Cricetulus griseus: one gene and its partner. The protein of the gene in region 2 purifies or fractionates together with the protein of the main gene of each other region. This does not show direct contact. Links are inferred from orthologs where the notes say so. Each region holds a gene or a part of one and is shown on either strand. Other genes may lie near its edges.

Region 1 (3,652 bases), on a different chromosome or scaffold from region 2:
GTCTAGTGTATGGCATACGAGGAGCAATAGTCGATGACAGGGAGACTGGAAAGTACACCCTAAAAAACATTACTCAGATTCTAGAAACAATTAGTTTCCCTTAAAAATGTGTAATATTCTGCTACAAATTTGATTAAATGTATATTACATCTAGAGTTACTGGGGATAGCACTGTAGTATTTAATTTGTTAAGAGGCTGTGGAATATTAGTAGTATATTACTTTTCTTGGGTCTGATAGCCATTATAAACGCAATATATGAAAACAAAGGCAGTTAACTTTTGGACATTTTAAAGAAAAAAGGATAATTTTAATTCAAGTCTTTCATCTTATAGATTGCAGATTTTGGTTTATCAAAATGGCGCATGATGTCACTCTCTCAATCACGAAACAGCAAATCTGCCCCCGAAGGAGGAACGATCATCTATATGCCACCCGAGAACTATGAACCTGGACAGAAATCCAGAGCCAGTGTGAAGCATGATATATACAGGTACTGAGCATTGCTTTTGTTTTATCAGAAATATAAGATTAATCAGCCAAAATTTTCCAACGACATTTTATAATGAAATTTTCTTCTAATTACTTATAATGAAAATAAATTAGAGACCACAATGGCTGATATTTTTCAAATTAGACATTTTTGCTTTAAGTGATTTCAACGTTGTTTAAAGATATGAAGTTATATATTTTTCCCTATGAATATGTAGCAGTGCTCAAAGGTTTTCAGCGTAAGTTACTTGGGAAAGCATGGGCAAACAGGAGTCTATAACATTTAGTCACTATTACTTATACATTACTCACTTTTAAAGAGAGTTAAACAAACTGTTAAACCTATTAGGGATGTTTTTATTTAAATCATCCCTAATGTTTATATATGGATGGATCCTTTATACAGTGAACCAATGTGTTTAATAGAATTGTGGTTTTATGTTTCATTTACAGCTAATTATAACCTCACAGTATAGTAATTAAGCATAATGTTTTTAATATTGCTTCTTTGGCCAGAGTAAAGGAGGATGATAATTTATTATGCACAGAATTATAGCGTGGGAGCTTTTACCTCATGTGTAATTCACATCTGTCTCTTTAACCTGCCAAGGAATGTAAATTATTTTAAATCCATGCTATAGCGCTTTCAAACAACTTTTGCTATCTTTAATAAATTAACATAAAAATGAAGATGTTTTAGTAGTAAATGATATGTCTTGACTAGAAAATTGCATAATCAGCTTATATAACCCTTTTGTCAAAAAAAGAATTTTTTTACTCCTTATTAAATCTGTGGCAGCCAGTTCATGTCAGTGAGCATCTAGGACAAGTATCTGTCACATTCATGTCATTGTACAAAGAAGGTTTCTTCTTCCATTGTTTCCGTATATCCTTAGTTCATCTAAGTGAGGTGCCCAGTGAGAAGGAACAGAACGGATTTGTTTCTGCTACATGAAGACTACATAGTCCAGATGGTTTGAGTCTATAAAGACAGACCGTTTGGTTTTTTTGTTTGTTTTGTTTTTTCCTGGATTGAGAGATCTTGTGGTTTCTTTCATTGTGTCTGTTTACACACTGAACTACACTGATTGATTTGCAAGTGTTGAACCAACCTTGCATACCTGAGATGAAACCAGCTTGGTCAAGGTATATGATCTGCTTGATGTGTTTTTGAATTTGATTTGCAAGAGTTTTATTTAGAGTTTATGCATTTATGTTCATGGAGGAAACTGCACAGTAGTTTTCTTTTTCTATGGTTTTCCTATCTAGTGTTGGTTTCAGTGCAATGTTGGCTTCATGGAATGAGTTTGGTAGTGTTGCCTTCCTTTCCATCTTATAAAACAGTTGGAAGAAGACTGGTGTAGAAAACCATTGGTGCGTGCCTTTAATCCCAGTATCCAGGAGGTAAAGGCAGGTAGCTCTTTCTGAGTTCAAACCAGCTCGCTAACAGAGTGAGTTTCAGAACAGCTAGTGCTACATAGGGAGAGTCTGTCTCTCCCAAAAGCAAAAGAAGCAAAAATCTTGATAGAATTTGATGGTGAATCTACCTGGTTCTGAGATTTTCCTTGTTAAGAGACATCATTGTGATATCATGTGTGTGTGTGTGTGTGTGTGTGTGTGTGTGTGTGTGTGTGTGTGTGTGTGTGTGTTGATATAATTTTGGTGGTCATATATATCTAAGAATTTACCATGTCTTCTGGATCTTCCAGTTTTGTTTTTTGTTTTTTAAATGAGTTTTCTAAGTCCTTCCTAATAAATCTTTGTATTTTATTGGAAACAAAAATGTAGACTTCCCTTTTCATCTCTGATTTTATTAATTTGGCTCTTCTTCTTTTAGCTATTCAACTAAAAGTTTGTCCATCTTATTTATGTTTTCAAAGAGCCAACTCTTTGATTGACTCTATGTATAGTTCTCGGGCTGGAAGGATGGCTCAGCTCTTAAAGGGTAGACTCACAACCAAACATATATTCTTGTTTTTGTCTCCATCTCATTAAGTTCTGCCTTGATCTTTATTATTACTTGCCATCCAGTGCTTTCGAGTTTGAATTGTTCTTGTGTTTTGTTTTGTTTTATTTATTTTTGGTTTTTCTAGACAAGATTTCTCTGTGTAGTCCTAGAAGTTTACTCTGTACCCCAGACTGGCCTCGAACTCAGAGATCCACCTGCCCCTGCCTCCAAAGTGCAAAAGGCACGCACTACCACCATCCAGCTAGGTTGTTCATTTTATTTAGTACCTTGAGGTACTTTGTTGGGCTATCACTTGAGATCTTTCTGACTTATAAAGCACTCACAGGTACAAATGTTCCTCTTACCTTGAAGCTGTGCTTTCGTTTTCATTTGATTCTAGGAACTTTTAAATTTCCTCTCTAACTTCGTGAATGACTCAGTGGTAATTCAAGAGTTCGTTCTTCAGTCTCCATGCATCTGTATAGTTTCTGTAGATTTTCTTTCCGTGTTTTGATTTATTGTTTCATTGCACTAGGAGCTGAACAAGTAAAAGAGGTGATATTGATTCCTTTGTATTTGCTTAGACTTGATTTGTAGCCTAGAATGTGGTCTGTTTTAGAGATGGTTTGGGGGCTGCTGAAAAGAACATGTATTCTGTTTCAATTGGATGGAATATTCAGTAAATACTGGCTCAATCCGATGATCTATGATGTACTTTAACTCTGAGATTTCTTTATTGATTTTTAGCTTAGTTGGTATATCTATTGGCTGATTGAAATCACCTACTATTATTGTTTCACAAATCAAACCATGAGTCTGTTTTATGAATTTGGGAGTGCCAGAGTTTGCTGCATATTCATTTACAGCTGTTAGTTCTTGGTGAATTTATCCTTTCTCTCTTCTGACTAACTTTGTGTAGAAGTTGGCTCTTTCATCAGAATAACTACTCAGATGATTTTTAATAGATTCTTTTATCTTTACCAATAATGTACGATTCTTAGAGACAACATAAAGTAGGATCTTGTTTCTTGATCCAGTCAACTCTGCCTCCTTATTGTTGAATTATGGCCATTTTCATTTAAGGTTACAATTCACGGGTACTTATTAATTTCTGTAGTTTCATTGATTGTTTTTCTGGCGGCTTGAATTATTGTTTGTTCTTTATTTTTTCCCCTTAATATTAGTATCAGGGATTTGAAAACAGATTAATTTC
Region 2 (3,752 bases):
GCCCAACAGTAATAATAAAAGGGAAGTAACTATTGATAGAAGCAATGGTCTACACGAATCCTTTCAGGATTTTACTAAATGGAAACAAAACAGCAGCCAACTGCTATCCAGAGCTGGTGAGATGGCTCAGTGGGGTAAAGGTGCCTGCTACCAAGTTTGCGTTCAATCCGCTCCCCAAACCCACACAGTGGAGAGAGAATACCAACTCCTGCAAGTTGTTCTGTGACCTTCCCATGTGCACCATGGCATGCCTGTATTCACACACTTAAACACACAGAGAGAAATGCAATACAAAATTTAAAATGCTATCTCAGAGGGTAACCTGATGCACGATCCCATGTGTTTAAGTCTTGAAAAATTGCAGAAATGGGAACTGGTTTGCAGTTGCCAGATGCTGAACAGAGGTGGAATGACATAAAGGGATGCTTCAGGCAGACCTGTTCTGTATCTTGACTGTATTACCATCTATTTTCTGCTTACCGTAGCGTTTGGTACCATAACCCCACAGGGTTGGAGGAAATTGGGTTAAGGGTGCATGGGTCTGTGCATTAGTTCTTCCAATTCTTTATTAATATACAATTATCCCAAAATAAAAAGTCCAAAATAACAAGTAAGGAACAGCTGTCTCAAAAAAAGAAAAAACGGAAACGATAGACTAAATACTGACAATGGGCAGGGGTGAGTTTGGCCCTTACACACTGTGGCCCACCGAGCTTGCAGTTTCAGTTTTGCTTTTCTTGGAGGGCAGCCTTCATGCGAGTTTTCTTATCCATGACTAGTATGTGGCCACACACCTGAAGGCACTTTTGATTAATTGTCAATAACGTTTAAAAACATTTATTCCGAAAATGTATTAGCAAGTTAATTCCTTCACGTGGTTACAGTAAATGAAAAGGCTCTGAAACGTTCACGATCGAGAGAAGAAGACTTAACCACAGACGGGAAGAAAGCCTCGGTCCCTGAAAGTAGATCAAACTGAAGTTTGCTTAGTGGACAGCTTCTTGAGAGGCGCAGACTCCGTTTAACAAGCCTTCCCTCCCGGGTCCGGGCATTGGTTGAGGTTACAGGCTTTGGGTGGCACTTTCGTGGGGTGGGGGGCGGGCCTTGGCTCTCCGCGGCCGTGGCAGAGCTGGCACGACGAGTTCCCAGTGTGCCACCCCAGGGCGAACTCGGAGACCTGCCCACTACCGCTCCGCAGGGGCGGCTCGTGCAGCCCAGTGGCGGCGGCGGCGGCGGCGGCTCTGGCCGGGGAAGAGTGAAAGGGAGCCCGTCCCCGCCTCGTCCGCCCGCTCCGCCCCATCCTCTCCCGGGAGCCCACCCGAGCCCGGGCTCCGCAAGGCGGAGGAGCCGTGGTTCCCGCCAGTTCCCGTTCCCGGACCGCGCGAGCCGCAGGGTCCACCCTGCCCTCCAGCTCCTGCTGTCCCACCGGATCCGCGACCCTAGTCCCTGGATCCCCACACCGCTGGCCACCGCGCTCCCGGGCCGCCGGAGCCAAAGTCCTGTCTGTCAACTTGGTAAGTCACGGGGGTTGGTGCGGGCAGGCTCTCCGGACCAGCTGAGGAAATGAAAAGCTGCTGCCGAAAGCTCTGGCTGAAACCGGGCGGAGAAGCCCCCGAGTTTCAGATGCAGCCTGTTCGGAGGCAAGCACTTCACAGCCAGTGGAATCGAAGATCCTACTGTGATCTAAGGCCCGCACGCTCAGCCCGCCAGCCTGCAACTTAGTATCGTCAAATGTGGACCAGATCCAGATGACCAGACCATTCCACAGACCGATTCTGTGGGAATTTCTAGGCTATTGCTTCAGAGTTGCAGGGGTGATTCCAATGTGCATGGAGTGTTAGGAGCCAGAGACCAAAGAGTAGTTGCCAAAAGAAAGTGCCTGCTGACTGGGACTTCCCGGAGTGCAGCCTACAGACAGGCCAAGGCTTCCAGGGACCTCCTAAGGTCCTGAGGTCGAGGGAGGACTTTTCCTTGTTTCATGAAACACAAAAGAAGGAAGCAGGACAATGCTTGCTTGGCAGGGTGGCTTTTAAGGGTAAAGCCAAAGGTATGCCTGCAGGACAGAGTCTGAGTGCTTGAAAGCAACCTTCCTACTTTAGACATTAAGAAGACCCGGAGTGCCCAGCACTTGGGAGGCAGAGGCAGGTGGATCTCTGTGAGTTTGAGACCAGCCTGGTCTACAAGAGCTAGTTCCAGGACAGCCTCCAAACCCACAGAGAAACCCTGTCTCGAAAAACAAAACAAAACAACAAAAAAAGAATACCCGAAGTGTTCAGGGTTAATATCCAGAAAGTCTGTTGGAGAGGGGAGTCCCCCTGTTCACATCTGTTGTGATCCAGGAGCCACTGGAAAAATGGACAGTCATCCTCATACATGCTGGCCAGGGGAGAGGCAGATTTAAAACCCTCGGCCTAGAGGTGGAATTGGGCCCTTTCGAAGGCTGAAAGAGTAGGTTTTGTTTTTGTAGAATAGAGACCCAGTAAACCTGACTCCTACCTTTGATTCTTCCCACTTGAATGATGTGATCAGCAAGTTGAAAATGGCCCCTCCAAGCCTCTCTTTTCTTACTGATAAAGTCTGGACAGAGTGAAGCTAACAGCTGGATAAGGTACATTATATGGTCCATAGCAGGGGCTCCATTACTGGACGATAGAGTAGTGGTAATTTATGTGCCACAATTATCTCTTTTTAGTGTAGCCACTATGATGGAGTATTTGTTCAGAAACTGTGTTCCTTAAAGCCTCACTCTCCTGTGTTTCTACACCATATATATATATATTTTTTAAACAGTCACTTTCAAGAAAGCTGGGCTGTCAGCAGGACTTAAAACTGATGCAGCACACATGGCTCTCTTGCTGGCAACAGCCTCGGTGTTCTTGTTTTGCTCTTGACTGTTGGTCTGGAGTCTTTCATCAAAGACCAAGGACAGCCAGGGATCTGAATAAGAGAATTCCACAACCTGTCCTTACTGATGCCTGCCTCCCATTTAAAATGGCCACCCAGCTGCCCACTCTGTTGGGACTGTCACTGCCAGGGTTAACAGCAAGCAGCAGCACTGTTTGGATAAGACATTCAAAACATAAACTGTGAAGGCATGGCGGACAAGTGTCAGTCACTGTACGTGACAGTTTCTTCTACATTTTTCTTTGGGAGGATTTTGGGCAAGATGGAGTTAGGAGAGCTCCTATGTACTTGCATGCCCTGCAGCAGCCTGCTTTTCGAGATGTCTACAGGTTGTGAGCATGTCTGTGGAGGCTCATGGAGGGCAGGTGTTTCACCTAAACTTGACTCTGTAGTGAGAGGGAGTAGTTGCTGTCTTTTCAATTAGCTGATGGATTTCAGGAAGTGCTGGGACACTGGCCAACACAAGACTTCCTGGCTTCAATGCTTACTTAGACTTGAATTTCATCTGAAATTGGCAGGCACCAAACTGTGGGCAGAGTCCTATATGGAGTCAGTCACAGCAGGAGGCTCCACCCTCCCCAGTTAGTCTCCTGCCAACCCATGGAGAACAGGCTGTTATCTGATGGAGCGCTATCCAGGCCTCTGATGGAAGAGAGTAACTAGAAAGAGATGCACGTCTTTATAGCCAACGAGGCAATGAAGTACCCTGCTTCCTTAAAACCAACAGGCTAAGCCATAAACTCACTTTAGAATTTGTTTTTGCAAACAAGTTATTTTCCTCAGAATTATAGGAAAATATATTTTAAAGGAGTAGTAAATGGTTGAAGACAAAGCCCAGGAAATGGCCC

What was found. Proteins that work in one complex are often made in the same cells at the same time.
Region 1: the proteins of Nod1 (region 2) and Ripk2 purify together in Homo sapiens (affinity purification with western blotting; 4 studies listed by BioGRID and IntAct, with this or other methods). This does not show direct contact. The link is inferred for Cricetulus griseus from reciprocal best matches to the Homo sapiens genes NOD1 and RIPK2.

The regions. Positions count from the first base shown.
Region 1 is NC_048595.1:130,003,476-130,007,127, reverse strand, and holds part of Ripk2 (receptor-interacting serine/threonine-protein kinase 2), read left to right. Parts: intron 1-334; coding exon 335-492; intron 493-3,652.
Region 2 is NC_048601.1:86,340,801-86,344,552, forward strand, and holds the start of Nod1 (nucleotide-binding oligomerization domain-containing protein 1), read left to right. Parts: upstream 1-1,347; 5' UTR 1,348-1,514; intron 1,515-3,752. UniProt on the Homo sapiens protein: Pattern recognition receptor (PRR) that detects bacterial peptidoglycan fragments and other danger signals and thus participates in both innate and adaptive immune responses.